Danio rerio: one gene and its partner. The protein of the gene in region 1 binds, or shares a complex with, the protein of each later gene. Links are inferred from orthologs where the notes say so. Each region holds a gene or a part of one and is shown on either strand. Other genes may lie near its edges. The genes, in order: malt1 and bcl10.

Region 1 (9,773 bases):
ACCACCAGATCCTGCTATCTACGCTCGAGTCACTGGGCGTTGCGGGCACTGTTATACAATGGTTCAGATCTTACCTCTCTGACAGGTCATTCAGGGTGTCTTGGAGGGGAGAGGTGTCCAACCTACAGCATCTAAACACTGGGGTACCTCAAGGCTCTGTTCTTGGGCCACTTCTTGATTTAATTTTAATTTAAAATTTAACAGCAAATGAATATATATATATATATATATATATATATATATATATATATATATATATATATATATATATATATATATATATATATATATGTGTATATATATATATGTATGTATATATATATATATATATATATATATATATATATATATATATATATATATATATATATATATATATATATATATATATATATATCTGATTTTATTCAGTGGATGTTTTCATCCCGAACAATCCCGAACATAACAAAAGGCAAAAGGAAAGTAAATTTGCCCAGAGTGTATCTTTGAGTTTTTTTGTTTTAAATTTTAATTATTTTCACAAAATATAGTATATTTCAAAATAAGATTTGCCACCAAAAAACATTCTGCTAGCTGAAACAGACAAAGTTATGGCCAAATTAATACTTGAAATCTCCTCAGAGTGGATGAAAACATCCCCAACAGCACACACAGTAAGGGTTATTGCAGAAAATATACATACATATGTAGTCTTTAAGTAAAAATGTTAAAAGATGAGCAGATATGAATTAATATTAATTCCATTCAATATATTAATTAATGCTTTTCTCATTGTTTCTAGCCTACATCTCTTTTTCTGGTACAATGAAGAGAGGTTTCCCTTGTAAACTGGCATCCATGAATGTGTATTTTCCTCACACAATAACGAAATAAAGTTCATAAAAAAACCATCATCCTTTAAAGATAAATAAACAACCCCAAATCACATGTTTGTGAAGAGCGAGTTTGACTGAAACACTTCCGTTTAAGCACTGCGAGCTGCTCAGGAGTAGTGTACTCATGATGAGATGAACACCTTCCCCTTTGTCAGACACCAGGAAGTGATGCGAACACACACACACACACACACACACACACACACACACACACACACACACACACACGTACTTTTGGATTTCCCCGCATCAGTCGGATTCATGTATCGTTTAATAATGGGATACATGACAACACATAATCCGTGTACGGTATGTCAATGTTTATACTGCGTGTTTTTCAAGCCTTCTGTTTTGTGTTTGGTGAATTCCGATATGTTGTTTGGCTACTTTTGAAACATGAACGTTTAGTCCAGTTCATACATTTCATAATCTTAAAATCTAACTTAGAAGTGCTAAATACTTTATTAAACAATAATTTTTTACCAATATTCGCTTGCTGACTAGACAAAGCGCGATGGAAAAAGTGAAATTAGCGATTGTACAAGTTGTTGACGTACCAAAGGATGACAATACTGCTTTGTTTTTCGTCTTCATTTTTAAAGTCGTCTTGCCGTTCACACTCGTCTTACTTTACTTCTTCTGTGGATCATAAAGGAAAATATTAAGTCTTCTTTCACTTTTAGATGATTCTGAATACTTTGGATGACATTTCATTCATTTGAATTGTTCACGGAAATAAATTAAGGAACTGGAACAACATGAAGGAGCAAATTATTACAGGGATTTAATTTTGAAGAAAATGTCTTTGATATGATCTCTAATCTGAATTTAAAGATATTAAACTAGTGTGTCTAATGTAGACAGGTGTATACACTTACCGGCCACTTTATTAGGTACACCCGTCCAACTGATCGCTAACGCAAATTTCTAATCAGCCAATCGCATGGCAGCAATTCAATGCATTTAGGCATGTAGACATGGTCAAGACGATCTGCTGCAGTTCGAACCGAGCATCAGAATGAGGAAGAAGGGTGATTTAAGTGATTTTGATGGTGGCATGGTTTTTGGTGCCAGAACGGCTGATCTGAGTATTTCAGAAACTGCTGATCAACTGGGATTTTCATGCACAACCATCTCCAGGGTTTACAGAGAATGGTCCGAAAAAGAGAAAATATCCAGTTTGTGGCAGTTCTGTGGTCACAAGTGCCTTGTTGATGCCAGAGGTCAGGGGAGAACGGCCAGACTGGTTCCAGCTGATAGAAAGGCAACAGTAGCTCAAACAACCACTCGTTACAACCGAGGTCTGCAGAAGAGCATCTCTGAACGCACAACATGACTAACCTTGAGGCGGATGGGCTACAGCAGCAGAAGACCACACCGGGTGCCGCTCCTGTCAGCTAAGAACAGGAAACTGAGGCTACAATTCACACAGGCGCACCAAAATTGAACAATTGGAGAAATGTTGCCTGGTCTGAAGATTGTCAATTTCAGCTGCCACATTCGGATGATCGGGTCAGAATTTGGCATCAACAACATGAAAGTATGATTCCATCCTGCCTTGAATCAGTGAATTAGGCTGGTGGTGGTGGTTTGATGGTGTGGGGGATATTTACTTGGCACACTGTGGGCCCATTAGGACCAATTGAGCATCGTGTCAACACCACAGCCTACCTGAGCATTGTTGCTGATCATGTCCATCCCTTTATGACCAAAGTGTACTCATATTCTGATGGCTACTTCCAGCAGGATAATGCACCATTTTTTTTTGTCAGGCATAATTAGATCAAGGGTTATTTGATGGTGACATTTTGTAATACTTTTAATACAATTTAGTATGATCACTCATCATTTTATATATCTTGAGAAGTGCAGGTCAGAATAAATAGTTAATTCGCTTTTGTAAATCACTTTTGTAAATGCCACAACAGTTGATATCTCATTTATTACATTTATAATACAAATATTTTCAGAATATTCATGTATTTTAATATGTTATATATTCATATTCTAGTGGTGTTAAATAAATATTCTTATATTTCTTATATGATGTATACACTGCTAATAATGTCATGTTGATTTTCCGTTTGGCAGGTGCTTTGCTGACTACTTAAGCAGTTCAGCAGGTCAAACCAATCACAGCGGTGCATCTGCCTTATTCTCAAACATGTCGGAATCGAATGAAAGCTCTTTGAACATAAATTTCTTGAAAGAATCTGTATTAAAAAGGCTCTGTGAGTCTCTTGATAAAGCCAACAATAAAGGATGGCGAAAACTGGGGGAGATTGTGAAAAATGACAAGCGGTTTAAAGTGAGGTAACAGCTCTATTGTTCTCTCTTCACTTTACCTCCTAATGTAATATCCACTTTGAAACTTACATTTCGTAATGCTTTCTGAATTCACTCATATGCACAGTCTCGAAGACATGGACATGTGTTCTCTGAAGGCTTTGAAGGCAGATGGTAGTCCTTCCCGAACTCTTCTCAAACTCATCGGAGATCAGGGCTGTATCCAGGAAGAACTGATGGAGTTTCTACAGATCATGGGTCACACAGAGGCCCTGCAGTGTCTTAAACCTCCAGGTACAGTTACCTTAATAGTGTAAACATAGTAGGCAGAGTTTTTATGTTGTGCAATGCTGTATTACATTATCTTTTGTCTTGCTTATCCAAATTTACATGTCGCAATTCCGTGTTAGATCTAGCGATTCAGAGATAGATCATGCAATTCTGAGTTTTGATCTTGCGATTCTGAGATAAGATCTTGTCGTTCCGAGTTTAGATCTTATGATTCTAAGATTACATGTTGAGATTCCAAGTTTTATCTTGCGATTCTGAGATTAGATCTCGCTATTATAAGTTTTACATGTTGCAGTTCTAAGTCAAGATCTTGAGACTTTGAGTTTAGGTCTTGCTATTTCTAGTTGAATCTTGCAATTCCGAGATTAAATCTTGCTGTTCCGAATTTAGATCTCACCACTTCGAGATTGGATCTTGTGATTCCAAGTTATATCTAGGAATTCTGAGTTGAGGTTTTGCAATTTGCGGTTTAAGATCTTGCCGTTTCGAGTCTAGGTCTTGTGAGTTCGATATTACATTTTGCCATTCCGAGATTAGATTTTACAATTCCGAGTTTAGATTTTGCTATTCCAAGTTTAGATCTTGTGAGTCTGAGATTGCATATTGAGATCCCGAGTTAGATCTTGCAATTCCAAGTTTGCATCTTACAATTCTGAGCTGGAATGTGATTCTGAGTTTAGGTCTTGCTATTTTGAGTTAGGTCTTACCATTCCGAGTTTAGATCTTGCAATTCCAAGGGTACTTGTTGCGATTACGAGTTTACGTCGTGCAGTCATAAGTCAGATCTTGCAATTTTGAGATTAGATCTTGCAATTCAGAGTTAGATCTTGCTATTCCTACATATTCCAAAATTGTATGTTGCTATTCCAAGCTACATCTTGCAACTCTGAGTTTAGATCTTGCCATTCTGACTTTAGATTTTGCAATTACAGTTAGACCTTTAGATTTTGTGTTTAGGTCTCGTTATTTTGAGATTAGATCTTGCAAGTCTATGTTTGTATCTTGCGATTCTAAGTTTACATCTTGCATATCCAAGTTAGAAGTCCAATTCTGACTTTATATCTCATGAGTCCGAAATTAGATCTTGCAAGTACAAGTTTAGATCATGTATCTTGGTTTACATGTTGCAATTCCAAGTATACATTGTGTGATTATAAGATTACTTTTGGTGATTCAGAATGCATGTTACGCGATTCAGAGTTGAGATTTTGAATTTACTTCTGCCAATTCCAAGTCTAGACCTTGCAATTCAGAGTTTAGATCTTGCTATTTCAAGTTTACAAGCTGTTATCCCAAGTTGGATCTTGCCATTCCGAGTTTAGATCTAGCTTTTCTGACTTTAGATCTTACAATTCTTAGATTAAATCTTGTCACTCTGAGTCTAAATCTTGCAATTCCGAGATTAACACTTGCCACTCCGAGTTTAGACCTTGTGATTCCGAGAGTAGATCAGATCTTGTAATTCTGAGTTTACATCTGGTGAATCAGAGTGTGTGTAATGCAGTTCAGAGTTTACGTGAAAACTATACTAATTATTACAATACTTTTCCAATGTGAAAATTAATTCCAGGTCCACATTGTGCTATTCTGACTTTTCTGTTTTTGTCTCACAGGAATTCAAATCCTGCTTCAGCCACAGTCAGTATCTGTCATTGCCGGACACAACCTTCGCCTTAGCTGTTATGCTGTCGGTGCTTCACCTGTGCAGTTCCAGTGGTTTAAGAAAACTGAGGAGGTGTGTAGACCAATAGTTTTATAGTTTTGCATCTTTAAATGAGTTTTTATTTTGATACTAAATTGTATATTCAATTATTTATTTTTTACTGTTGATGTTTGTTAATTACTGAAATGCTCTTGCCATGAAAATAGCCTTAGTAGCTGACATGGCAATAAATAAATAATGAATGAATGAATGAATGAATGAATTATTTTGATACTATTTTAAAATTTGCTGTACGTTTCAGTTTAGTTCAATAAATAAATGGTTTGATAAGTTTTAGTTTCTTATTCTATGAACAAAATTCTTTTTAGTTTTTATATATTTATTTTCAGTTTTAGTGTAGTAATTCTACTCTAACTGAGTTGACAGAACATGTCCAGTGTGGACCAAAGCAAAGTTTAATGTTTGCACAGCTTGCATGAACTCTTGTGCAAAACACTTAGTAAAAAAAATAACACTGAATACAAAACCCAAAATGGAACTTAAATGGATAAACGTACAAATTATAAAGAATTCAGACAAACTTTTTAATCTGTAAAGATAATGTATGTGGTTAAATGTGCTTAGTTTGCATTTTTTGGCAAATAAAGAAAAGTTAGACGACATGTTTTATGTTTATACGGAAAAGGTGTTTCTGTATATAATAGTCATGTGCTTGACTGATGTGTTTGATACTTCGATAAACAGCCGTAGCTCAGATTATTTGCCACAGAATGAGTGCTTATGAATTGTGAAAATTATTATTTAGTTTAGCAAATTTAGTTTTTTTCAAATGAGTGGCACGGTGGCTCATTGGTTAGCACTGTCGCCTCACAGCAAGAAGGTCACTGGTTCAAGTCCCAGCTGGGGCAATTGGCAAATCTTTGGGGAGTTTGCATGTTTTTCCCCTGTTTGTGTGAGTTTCCACCGGGTGCTCCGCTTTCCCCTACAGTCCAAAGACATGCGCTATAGGTGATTTAGGTAAACTAAATTGCCCATAGTGTATGAGTGTGTGTGTGTAAAGAGTGTCTATGGGTGTTTACCAGCTTTATGGCTGGAAGGGCATCCTCAGCGTAAAACATATGCCAGAATAGTTGGTGGTTCATTCCACGGTGGCCACCCCTAATAAATAAGCTGAAAGAAAATGAATGAATTTTTTCAAATATATTTCAAATGTTGTCAGTTTTAGCTTTTAAGTTATCATGAATTATTTATTTTATTTCAGTTAACGAAGTGTTTTTTCACCAATAGTTTTAGTCTTAGTTTTCGTTGTGATAACATGTGATATTACAAATGAATAACCTAATTAAAGGGATAGTTCACCCAAAACTGAAAACTCTTTAATTCTTCACTTTTCTCAAAACTGTTTGAGTTTTTTTTTTTTTTTTATCTTGTAAACAAAAAATATGTTTTAAAAACTGGCTGACTTCTATAGTATGTGTTTTTATCTGCTATGGAAGTCAAAAGTTGTCAGCTTCAAGCTTTCTTCAAGAAAATCTTTATGGGCACCTATCATGAAAATCAACTTTTGTAAGCTGTTTGGACAGAACTGTGAAACACAATAAGTCTCTTTTTTTTAATTTCCTGACTTTAAAATAGGACCCAAATCCCAGTAATTTTGAGGTCCTCTGCAATGTTATGTAGAAGTGCAGTTTTCCCCGCCCACTGAATTGATTGACAGGCGCCATGATTCCATAATAACATGTCTACACCTGTTCACAGAACAGTTTTTTTAACAGGGAGTAAAATATCTGTTTCAACTCACTGTGATTTTTATAAGTTTAAAACGTCTTTAAAACAGAGCACATTTGTAATAAAGACGTTAAATTACATTGACGTGAAGTTAAATTGCTAATTCTTAACCGCTATAATCACCATGTACACATGGTGTCAGTAAACGCTAATGTGTGAGACTCATCATTTCAGAAAGGCTTGAATAGACTCCACCACAAATACATCAAATAAACTTACTTGGTGTTCTTGACTAAATAGCTGTATTTCAGCTTTATCCGAGTCTGTCTTTATCACTGACTGCTGTTTATCTGACATAACGCATGATGAGAAGCAGACACGCACATAGGAAAAGTGGGCGGGGAAAAGCAGCTCATTTGGATTTAAAGTCACAGGCTACAAAAACAGCTGCACTGTACTTGGACACCAAAAGTGTGCATATTCTGGACGTTATAATAAATTATCTGATGGGTATTTTAAGTTGAAACTTTACAGACACATTCTGGAGACACTAAAGGCTTATCTTACATCTTGTAAAAGGGGTTAAATAGGTGCCCTTTAATTTGTAATCACTTGAGTAAATAGTAAATACTTTTTCATTTAAGGGTGAACTCTCCCTTTAACTGATGGTGATTTAAACAAATACTATAACTAATGCAACCTTTCAGGTACGCAGCAGCTCTTCCCCAGACCTTGTGTTCAGCCCAGTCCAGATCAGAGATGCAGGGTTTTACATCTGTAGGGTAAACTGTGGAAGCACATATGAGTTCAGTCAGTGGGCACAAGTAGATGTCCTTGACGTCCCAACAAGATATGGTAAGCGATACGCATCTTAAAATGATCATGCTTTGTTGCTATATTGAAAATGGATGTTTTTTGTTTAGGTCTAGTGTCTATGGGATCGGAGGTCAGGCTGAGGGTGTTGATCCAGCCTCAACCTCAAAAGCTGCTGACTGGAGATTTACTGTATCTGGAGTGTGGAGCTGCTGGCAGACTGCTGCCGCAATATCAGTGGTACAGAAATGGAGCGCCAATCAAAAAAGCCAACAAGAGGAAGTTCACTGTACGAGAATAAATATATGCTCAAATGTTCAGTTTATACACAAAATAATACACACAGGGTGTCTGCTGGGTCTTAAAATATAGACTAATATATACTTAAAATATCTTAAATGACAAAAAAAAAAATTTTAGGCCTTAAAAAAGTCTTTAGTTTACTGAAATATTGTCTTAAATAATTGTAAACAGGTCTTAATTTTTCGATGTTCATGTAAAGTTACCCAATCGGGCCAACGTCCATTCAATCACCAACTAAAAAAAAATCCATCTAAAAAAAAAAAAAAAAAAAAGAGATTTACCATTTTTATTAATCAACTCTATTTATCAATATGGTTTAATGATCTTTCGTACAATAATATTTGGTAAATGTTCCATGTATTTATAGCTACCAGGTTGGGACACTAGCCGGGGCAGACTGTTTTGCATACTTTTAGCTTATTATAGTTTTTAAAACATGTCATTATTGTTTAAAAGAAATGTTATGTTGAAAAAAAGAGTTCACTGGTTTTAACACATTATTTAAAATATGTAGCTAAAATGTTGCTGAATTTTTTTGATGAGGCAAGTAAAAATCTTTTCCATTGGGCCAACCGTTTAGCCCTGTATACAGTAAGTATGAAATTTTATTCATGATAGTCTTAAATACTTAAATAGTATTAAAAAGGAGCCTAAACTGGGGAAAAAATTGTAGAAACAACAACACCTAAAAGAAAACGTATCCAGTAATCTTAATTATTAAAATTATTTGGTCACACGTTATTTTCATATACAGGTATGCTATTAACATACCATTAACTGAGGGTGCACTCACACTAGATCATCTGAACTGTTTCCCGGTTCATTTGACAAGTGTGAGTGCTCAGAATCGGGCCCATGCGCAGTTCAGTTGGCCGGCCCTGGCACAATTCGTTTAGGCTTTGGCGCAGTATGCTTGTAGTGTGAGTGCAAAGCACGCCTGAGTGCAAAACTGAAGACGTGACATGACTTTTAAGGGACTGTTTCATATGGATTTATCAATCATTCTTACTGTTCAATGAACACAATCTGTCATAGCTTATTAAAGACACAAACCCCTAGCTGCACGTCAGCTGCACCTTCAGCAAACCTCATAATACATGCAGCACGATGACTTCTATGATAATTAATGAGTGTCAAAAGTGCTGGGTCTGTTCAGCAATATATTTAACTGTGTGTCACTGCATCCCAAAATACTCAAAATAATACAAAACGATTTAACTAAAGCAAAGTCCACTGTGCTGAGGGAGAGCACTACCTGTTAAACTAGACAGTCGCAACATCGATGACGTTAGCATGCTCTGGCTTGGAAGGTAAGCAATGTGGGTGCAGGCCGTCGGGGGAGAGAGGAGGGGGGACTAATGTGCCTCAGCACGGTTCAAGGCAACTACCTAGTGTGAGTACGCCCTAAGACTTTTAGGTATTGGGCATAGGGTTTAGGTATTGGGTAGGATTAGGGATGTAAAAATAAGATCATACTGAATAATAATAATCAGGTAATAAGCCAGTAGTAAATGGTGTGATTTGTTACTTATACATAAAATGTTACTGATTATATTTATAGTTTATTTTTTTATTTTATTTAAAATCAGGTCAAGAATGTGTTGCCAGAGCATCAGGGACGATATCGCTGCGAGATCTGCTGCAATAATGAACGAACATGGAGCAGTGAAGTTGACGTTGTTATTGGTATGTATCAAGTGTTTGTTTTGTATTTATTTATGTATTCTCTAGTTCTAATCAAATTTTAATTGTAACAGTAGCGAGTTGTACGGCCAGTAAGGCTAATTATATAACTCTCATTCAATCGATCATTC
Region 2 (9,873 bases), on another chromosome or scaffold:
CCATCAGCTGTTTTAGTTTGTGTCAGCTTTGTGTTTTTGACTGTTTGTCTTCATCTAGTGTCTAAATAATGCGCAGGTTAGTGTATACTCCATCAGCTGTTTTAGTTTGTGTCAGCTTTGTGTTTTTGACTGTTTGTCTTCATCTAGTGTCTAAATAATGCGCAGGTTAGTGTATACTCCATCAGCTGTTTTAGTTTCTGTCAGCTTTGTGTTTTTGACTGTTTGCCGCCATCTAGTGTCTGAATAATGCGCAGGTTAGTGTATACTCCATCAGCTGTTTTAGTTTCTGTCAGCTTTGTGTTTTTGACTGTTTGGCGCCATCTAGTGTCTAAATAATGCGCAGGTTAGTGTATACTCCATCAGCTGTTTTAGTTTGTGTCAGCTTTGTGTTTTTGACTGTTTGTCTTCATCTAGTGTCTAAATAATGCGCAGGTTAGTGTATACTCCATCAGCTGTTTTAGTTTGTGTCAGCTTTGTGTTTTTGACTGTTTGTCTTCATCTAGTGTCTAAATAATGCGCAGGTTAGTGTATACTCCATCAGCTGTTTTAGTTTCTGTCAGCTTTGTGTTTTTGACTGTTTGCCGCCATCTAGTGTCTGAATAATGCGCAGGTTAGTGTATACTCCATCAGCTGTTTTAGTTTCTGTCAGCTTTGTGTTTTTGACTGTTTGGCGCCATCTAGTGTCTAAATAATGCGCAGGTTAGTGTATACTCCATCAGCTGTTTTAGTTTCTGTCAGCTTTGTGTTTTTGACTGTTTGCCGCCATCTAGTGTCTGAATAATGCGCAGGTTAGTGTATACTCCATCTGCTGTTTTCATTTTTGTCCGCTTTGCGTTTAATTAACGAATTAATAAAATATTACAGCTCAGAACAATGTTATGTGTCTATTTTGGGGCAAGTAGCAATGTAATAAGCAGGATAAAGTAAATCCAGGATGGTTGTTTTCGCAGAATAAACCCTTTAGTGTTATACAGCAGTGCTCGGCTTCACGTCAGACTGTCAATAAAGCCTCTTGGGATGTATTCTGTGATAACAACCTCCTGGGTGTACTTTATCCTAAACATATCACCCAATATGTGTTTATTGTGAATATGTGGCTAGGGCTATATTTTGGGAAACCACAAAAAGTGCCTTTGCATGTGCTTGCCAGCATTTTCTAGGTAAAATGAACACTACATGGTGGTGTGATGCTGCCGACTTTTGTTCCTTTTAAAGATTTACAGCATAAAGATTTACAGGGACACATTATCAACGATAGCATCGATTTCGCATGGTTGTTAATAGATAAATGCCACAAAAATATCTCAATATAGACGGCTTTTCCAGAGTGGTCAGTTTGCTCTGTAGCTTACCTCGTACAGTGTCATACTTGGGGCGTGTAGGCAGACTTTGGACTGTTTTAGAAACCAGGTAAAAACAAATAAGCAATGTAAAACCATGGTAAAAGAATGTTCCAGCAATGCTCTTTTCTCTACTCGTTTGCATCTAAAAACACTATCGTTGAGTTTAGGGAGGAGGTGTATGGGTCAGTAATATATTATGCCCAACAAGCTGATCAGCTTCTCACATAAATGACATGTATGAGAAAAAATAGCTCAGTCACATATTTGAGATTTGCAAAAATGTAGATGGCGCCCTCTAGTGGACTTGTCAACACAAGCTGCAAGCAGGTGTCAGCGGAATAAGAAAAGCTTTTTAACCCTGTAAAGAGTTACCTTTTAAAGCCTCCAGGCGCTCGTTTTTGACCCGCTGCACCTCGTCTGTGATCCTGGCGATGATAAAGTTGAGCGTTCGGCCCCATTTGATGGACTCGATGAGCATGTCCAGGCCGCGAGGGTTTTCTGCCAGGATGTCCAGCAGTTTGCTGGTGCGTTTCCCTCTGGTGGTCCTGCAGCTGATCTCCTCCGTGTCTTCCCTGGTCAGGATCTTCTTCGAGCGCAGATAATCAAAGTGACGGTCGGCGATGATCTTATCCACCAGGTACGGTCGCAACCTTTCTATGGCCTACGATGACAGACAAGAACTAATGATTACACACTGACAATACTGTGCAAAAGTCTTAGGCTAGTGGCAGATTGAAATAGTTAGACATTATTTTGATCATTAATTGTACTTCAACAGTGAGTTTACTTTCAGAGATGATCTGATCATCATCCAGTCTGTCTGATGGACAACTCGGTTAAGAAGAACTCTGGCTCATCTTGAAGATGCTTCCAAAAACCTACCAGCAAAGCTGTTCAAAGTTTTAGGCACTTGTGTAAAAATGCTGTAAAGTGAAGATGCTTTTAAAAATAATTGATAAATACATTTTATTTATCAATGAACCTATATTACTAAATCAATTAAACATGTGAAATGACCACACTTTGCATTTAAAACACTAAGCCCAATAGCTCATAGTTTTTCAGGGAGCTTTGCAGGGAGGCTATTATATATCAGTATTTTTGAAGCAGGGAACATTTAAGACAGGCAAAAATTATTGGGCATGTGTCAAGGATTTGATCAGAGATTAGTGTGATTTCTCTTATTCAACAAAGATAAATAAATAAATAAATAAATAAATAAATAAATAAATGAATGAATGAATGAATGAATGAATGAATGAATAAATTTGACTTGTAGGCTTGTGCTTTACATATCATTTATATACTGCTACTCTCTGTTGAATTGTAGTGTTTATTAAAAGCGTCTGCCTACTAAATAAATATCTGCTAAGTTAATAAAAGATAATTCTTTTTTATGTTTAATATAATATATTTTACTATAATACATATAGTAAAATAATATAAATATATATATAGCAAATAGTGTTTTTGAACCATACTATAGTTAAGTGTATTGAACTATATATATATATATATATATATATGTATATATATATGTATGTATATATATATATATATATATATATATATATATATATATATATATATATATATATATATATATATATATATACATACATATATATACATACATATATATATATATATATATATATATATATATATATAGTGGCAGATATATATATATAATATAATATAAAATAAATGTATATAAATAGTTTCCCAGTACTGGGTTGGGGCTGGAAGGGTATCCATAGTATAGTTGGCGGTTCATTCCACTGTGGTGACCTCTGAAATAGAGACTAAGCCGAAGGAAAATGAATTAATTAAATTTATATAAATAAATATATTTAGTAAATAGTGTTTTTGAACCGTATATTAAACGGTATAGCAAACTCTTTGTAATGAATGCTGCTTATCAACATTAAACTTATAATCTGTAATAAATACAGTAGTATACGTTAGCAGTGTATGTATAAATTTGTAAACTGTAGTGTATTGAAGTGCAATAGTTATATATAGTATTTAAAAAGAATACACACACACATATATAAGTCAGAATTATTAGCCACCTTTTGATTTTATTTTATTTTTTTAAATATTTCCCAAATGATGTTTAACAGAGCAAGGAAATTTTCACAGTATGTCTGATAATATTTTTTCTTCTAGAGAAAGTCTTATTTATTTTATTTTGGCAAGATTAAAAACAGTTATTAATTTTTTAAAAAACATTTTGGGACAAAATTACCTTTACCTTAAAATTCACCACATCAACCCAATTAAGCCTTTAAATTTCACTTTAAGCTGTATAGAAGTGTCTTGAAATATTAAAATATTAATTAAAATATTATTTACTGTCATCAAAGAGAAAATAAATTCGTTATTAGAAATAAGTTTTTAAAACTATTATGTTTAGAAATGTGATGAAACAATCTTCCCTTCATTAAACAGAAATTGGGAAAAAAAATAAACAGGGGCGCTAATAATTAAGGGGGCTAATAATTCTGACTTCAACTGTGTATATATATATATATATATATATATATATATATATATATATATATATATATATATATATATATATATATATATATATATATATATATATATTACAAGTTTCCCAATACTGGAAGGACATCCGCTGCGTGAAACCTGTGTGGCGACCTCTGAAATAGAGACTAAGCTGAAGGAAAAAAAAAAAAAAAATATATATATATATATATATATATATATATATATATATATATATATATATATATATATATATATATACTTCCCAGTACTGGAAGGGCATCCGCTGCGTAAAACATATGCTGGAAAAGTAATGTTTTTGAACTATACTATAGTTAAGTGTATTAAACTCTTTAGTGAACTCTTTATAAATGAATTTTACTTATCAATATTGAACTCATAAGCTGTTATAAATACTGTAGTATACGTTAGCAGTGTGTTATTAGTGTTACATTAGTATTGTAAGCTACTATTATGTGTAAACTGTATAGTTGTATGTATTACAGTATTGTGACATGTTTATACTGTTGTATTACCATAACAACAACAAAATTACCACAACAGATTAATTCAAGTAACGTTAGCCTACTTTAGCATTGTTCATAAACACTAATATTTGCCAGAATTAAGTTAGTCCACTGTAGTATGTTTTAATGTGGGTTTATTTAATCTCGTAGACCAATATGATTAATATGCTCGTCTTAGGTACTTCATAAAGCAGTTCACACTCTAATAAAGTGAAGTCGGAGTATAAAAACTTGACGAACTCATTTGGAAATCATTTGCTTTCAGGTTTTTACACCTGATAAACGTTTGGTTGCATCGATCAGGTTTGTGGTCAGTGCCCCTCAGCGCTTTCACTTCTACTTTTACGAAGGCATTATCTGATTAATAGATTCTCGATTTCATTAACGCGTTTTGTTTCGTTTTACTCACTTCCTTCTTTATATCGGCCATTTCGTCCTCCGTCAGGTGAGTAACATCCATCCTCTCTTTTCGTTTTGTTGTTTTTCACTACTGTTCAGTTTTTAACTCGTTCCGGTAAGAAAACGGTGCTTCAAATTCCACATCGGCGACCAGAAATCAGCCAAAATGTCCAGACACGAACTTGTTAGCACACGTTGGATCCACTCGTAGTTCTCATATAGTAAAGGGGAACTACCGGCGCTTTAACTTCCTTATTGATAGCCTACATACTTTCTGTGAATGACGCCATAACCCAGCATCACGTCATCATTTTACAGGGGAGAACTTGTAAAATTTGTAAATTATGTAATATTTTCCTTTAATTTGTGATGATGTATATACCCCTACATGTGTTTTCCAATTTAATTCTTTTTACTGTATTGGGATTGTATTTGTGCATTTTTCATACTCTGATAAAATAGTTGGGTTAAAAATACCCCAACATTAAACCCAACTATGGGGTATTTTAACTCAATGCATTGGGTTATTTTAAATACATGTTTTTTTTTCATTCTGGTATTACTCTATTACTATTACTACTATTAATTTTATAATTATGATAGTGTAAATAAATAAATGTCTCCGCTGGGTGCTAAAGACAACAATATTATTGCGTTAAGAGCTTAAATAAACTTTAGAATGCAAAAACAACATTAAGCGCACATATTAATACAGCTGTTCTGTGTCAGTTAAATCAGTTGACTGTTGAAATTAAAAATTCTAACCCAACTGGTTGAGTTATGATATAAATAACCCAACAAAGTACATACTATTTAACCCAACTGGTTGAGTTACTATTAAATAACATAATAAAGGTTAAAAATAACCCAACAAAGCACATACTATTTAACCCAACTGGTTGAGTTACTAATAAATAACATAATAAAGGTTAAAATAACCCAACAAAGCACCAAATATGTTTAACTTAATTATTGGGTTAAATAAATAACTCAACGTTTTTTTAGAGTGTAACATTTGAAACAAAGTTATATCTGAAATGTAAACTGTAAACTTAAAATTGTACAAAAAGCATTTACAAGCTGTGATACTTGCCAAAGGCGGCAGTTCAAGATATTATAATCAACAAAAAAACGTTCTGAGAAGGTTCTCTTTTGGTTATAAAATAGATCCCAAAATTAACCTACAATGAACGTTCTGGGAAGGTTCTCTCAAGGTTATGAAAAAAACCTAAATAAAACCTAGAGGGAATGTTCTGGGAAGGTTCTCTGTAGGTAATAAATTAACCATTGAAAATAGCCTGCAGAGAACGTTCTGGGAAGGTTATATTTTGGTTACCAAAAAAAAAAAAAAAACCTACAGAGAACGTTCCCAGAATGTTTTTTTTTTTATTTTCTGTTATTTTGAAAGTGTAAATGATGGAAATAAAGTTTAACTTTTTTGACACATTAAAAAAATGTCTAATCTGTAATTTAAAGCCTTTTGGAGATTTTTCCATCTTGTCGTGGCTTCTTTATGCACATTAATTCAAATTTTTACCTGGGGCGCCCAAACTTTCGATCCCCACTGTTTATTAGGAGTACTAAATCTGATTAAATAATGGTTAATTTGATAAAACACAAAAGGAAAAGTGTTCATTTGTTAAAAACATACCATTGTTTTATTACAACTCTCTCACAACAGAGGACATTATTATAACAAAATGTGTTCAGCGCTTTTTAGGTGGCATTTCTTCTGGATAAGCTGATATATAAACTTATTTTTTTCTGTGTCTATCAATTCTGTGTGTTTTTCAGTCCAAGCGCATGCTTCAGACACTAAAATGAAGAATAAATGACTAAAGCATTTCCTATGGAGTCAGATCAGTCTCAAAAATAATACATTTATGAAATGATATTCATACATGCATAGCGCAATTCACATTTATAAAATTAAGTTCGTAAATTCAAAACACAATTCATAAATACAACACACAGTTTATAGATTCACAAGTAAAAATCATAAATATTTTCGCCAAATGAACTGGATTTGTGTATTTTTTAATTATATTTAAACTTGTGAATTATATTTTGTAAATGTGTTATTTCTGAGACTGATCTAACTCCATACATGTCGATCAAATCTGTTTTTTTTTTTCAGTCCAAGCGCATGCTTCAAAGATTAAATGAATAACAAATTAATAGAGCATTTCCTATGGAGTCAGATCAGTCTCAAAAATAATTAATTTACTAAAAGTTCATACATCACAATTCACAATTACATAATCCAATTCATAAAATCAAAACACTATTCATAAACGCAACACACAGTTCATGAATTCACCAGTGAATATCATATATAATATTTTCACCAAATGAATTGGATTTGTGTATTTCTGAATCATATTTAAGCAAATTATATTTTGTAAATGTATTATTTTTGACACTGATCTGACTCCATAGATGTCCATTAAATCTCCATCTCAATCTCTGGTCAGATCTGAAACCTCCTCTAGATGCTGCCGTACGACACTGTCTAGAACTTTACTGAACTCTTTGCACGCCGTCATGGCCGCCTCCATCAGTGTGTCCAGGTGGTCCTGATGGAGCCGGGCGTCCATTTGCAACAGGGCAATATTTCCACTACGAGGCAGCAAAGCCAGAGCCAGCGCTGTTCCTCCACCGCTCTCCTCTGCATGACACAGATCTGCCAGCGGGGTGTCCTCCACAAACCCAGCGCTGCACGCACACACATAATCGCGCATGGGGATCCCAGCGTCCACTAGAGCCAATGTAGCAGCATTGACACACGCGCTGTAGTTTCCACCGTCCGCCTGCAGGATCTACAGCGCAGGACAAATCAAAGACATGGTGCTGTTGTAGTCAGTTACATGTAATGTGAATTGTAATAGTATTTAAAGTGTCTTTGGAATCTTGTCATGTACTGCAACTGTAATAATATGAGTTATAGTTTGATCTGGCTCTTACGTTCAACAGAAAAAATTATCACAATAATTTAAAGCCAATATGCATGCATGGATGGATGGATTGATGGATTGTGGGTGGATGGCTGGGTAATTGGGTGGAGGACGAATGGATAGTTGGGTGGATCCTTGGATGGAGTCGGTGGGTGGATGGATGGATAGTTGCATTTATGAATGGATAGTTGGGTGGGTGCAGGAATAGCGTTGGGTAGATGGATAGATAGTTGGGTGGGTGCGTGGATGGATGGATAGTTGCATGAATGGATTGATAGTTGGGTGGGTGCATGAATAGCGTTGGGTAGATAGATGGATAGTTGGGTGCGTGGATGGATGGTTGGACGGATGGGTAGTTGGGTGGATGAATGCAAAGATAGATGGATGCATGTATGTTGGATAGTTGGGTGGGTCCATGGTAGAGTTGAGTGGGTGGTTGGATTGATAGTTGGGTGGATGGATGGATGAATGTATAGTTGGGTGGTTGGATGTATAGTTGGGTGGGTGCATGAATGGAGTTGGATGGGTGAATGGATAGGGAGTAGGTGTGTGGATGGATAGTTCGGTGGATGGATGCAGAGATGGATGGATGAATGGGTAGTTGAATGGATAGACGAATGGGTAGTTGGGTGGATAGATGGATGGATAGTTGGGTGGGTGCATGGATGGAGTTAGTTGGTTGTTGGGATGGATAGTTGGGTGGATGGATGGATGAATAGTCGGGTGGATAAATGGATGAATAGTCGGATGGATGAATAGTCAGATGGATGGATGGATAGTTGGATGTATGGATAGTTGGGTGGGTGCACAAATGGATTTGGGTTGGTGGATAGTTGGATAGTTGGGTGGGTGCATGAATAGAGTTAGGTGGGTGGATGGATGAATAATTGGGTGTGTGGATGGATGGGTAGTTAGGTGGATGAATGCAGGATGCATGTATGATGGATAGTTGGGTGGGTCCATGGATGGAGTTGAGTGGGTGGTTGGATGTATAGTTGGGTGGTTGGATGTATAGTTGGGTGGGTGCATGAATGGAGTTGGATGGGTGAATGGATAGTTGGGTGGGTGTATGGATGGATAGTTGGGTGGATGGATGCAGAGATGGATGGATGGATGGATGGGTAGTTGAATGGATAGTTGGGTGGATAGATGGATGGATAGTTGGGTGGGTGCATGGATGGATAGTTGGGTGGGTGCACAAATGAATTTGGGTTGGTGGATAGTTGGATAGTTGGGTGCATGAATAGAGTTAGGTGGGTGGATGGATGAATAATTGGGTGCGTGGATGGATGGATAGATGGATAGTTGGGTATGTGGATGGATAGGAAGGTGGGTGTATGCTGGATGGAAAGATAGTTGGATGGGTGCATGGATGGAGTTAGGTGGTTGGTGGGATGGAAAGTTGGTGGTTGGATGGATGAATAGTCGGATGGATGATGGATAGTCAGATGGAGGATGGAAAGTCGGATGGATGAATAGTTGGGTGGGTGCATGAATGGAGTTGGGTGGGTAGACGGATGGATAACTGGGTGCGTGGATGGATAGTTGGGTGGATGGATAGATAGATGGATAGTTGGGTACGTGGATGGATGGGTAGGTGGGTGTATGCTGGATGAATGAATAGTTGGGGAATGCATAGATGGATGGACTGTTGGGTGGGTAAATGCATGGATGGATAATTAATTGGGTGGATGAATGGTTGGATCGATAGTTGGGTGGGTGGATGAGTTGATTGACAGTGGGGTGTATACATGGATGGATGGATATTTATGTGGATGCATGGACAGTTGGGTGGATGAATGGTTGGATCGACTGTTGGGTGGATGGATGCATGAATGGATTGTTGGGTGGGTGGATGGACTGTTGGGTGGGTAGATGAAGGGTAGGATTGATAGCTTGGTGATTTTATGGTTGGGTGGGTGGATGGATGAATGGATAGATAGTTGGGCGGATGCATGAAGGGATGGATAACTGGGTGGATGCATGGATTGATGGCTGAATAAATGCATGGATTGATAGTGGTGTGGGTGGATGGATGAATTTCCAGATAGAATCCAGGGAGGATGTATGGTTGGACATATGACCAACTGAGCAGATGGATGAGTGGATGAACAGATGAAGGCTTGGACGGATGTG

The links.
Region 2: the proteins of malt1 (region 1) and bcl10 are in contact, whole or in part, in a cryo-EM structure (PDB 6GK2), measured with the Homo sapiens proteins. The link is inferred for Danio rerio from reciprocal best matches to the Homo sapiens genes MALT1 and BCL10. Residues at the interface, in NP_006776.1 of Homo sapiens: Asp46, Gln47, Ala48, Pro49, Trp54, Arg55, Leu74, Glu75, Ser78, Leu79, Val81, Leu82, Glu83, Pro84, Glu85, Gly86, Pro88; in NP_003912.1 of Homo sapiens: Leu13, Lys17, Val83, Arg87, Asn93, Gln97, Thr100, Leu104, Arg107, Asn108, Leu111.

The regions. Positions count from the first base shown.
Region 1 is NC_133180.1:72,224,918-72,234,690, forward strand, and holds the start of malt1 (mucosa-associated lymphoid tissue lymphoma translocation protein 1), read left to right. Parts: upstream 1-1,099; 5' UTR 1,100-1,184; intron 1,185-2,966; 5' UTR 2,967-3,039; coding exon 3,040-3,188; intron 3,189-3,288; coding exon 3,289-3,455; intron 3,456-5,065; coding exon 5,066-5,187; intron 5,188-7,550; coding exon 7,551-7,698; intron 7,699-7,766; coding exon 7,767-7,945; intron 7,946-9,548; coding exon 9,549-9,645; intron 9,646-9,773. UniProt on the Homo sapiens protein: Protease that enhances BCL10-induced activation: acts via formation of CBM complexes that channel adaptive and innate immune signaling downstream of CARD domain-containing proteins (CARD9, CARD11 and CARD14) to activate NF-kappa-B and MAP kinase p38 pathways which stimulate expression of genes encoding pro-inflammatory cytokines and chemokines.
Region 2 is NC_133177.1:2,087,915-2,097,787, reverse strand, and holds the start of bcl10 (B-cell lymphoma/leukemia 10), read right to left. Parts: upstream 5,024-9,873; 5' UTR 4,845-5,023; coding exon 4,794-4,844; intron 2,267-4,793; exon of another isoform or gene 2,155-2,266; coding exon of another isoform or gene 2,131-2,154; intron 2,005-2,130; coding exon 1,716-2,004; intron 1-1,715. Other genes in the region: exosc4 (exosome complex component RRP41), read right to left, coding at 7,243-7,602. UniProt on the Homo sapiens protein: Plays a key role in both adaptive and innate immune signaling by bridging CARD domain-containing proteins to immune activation.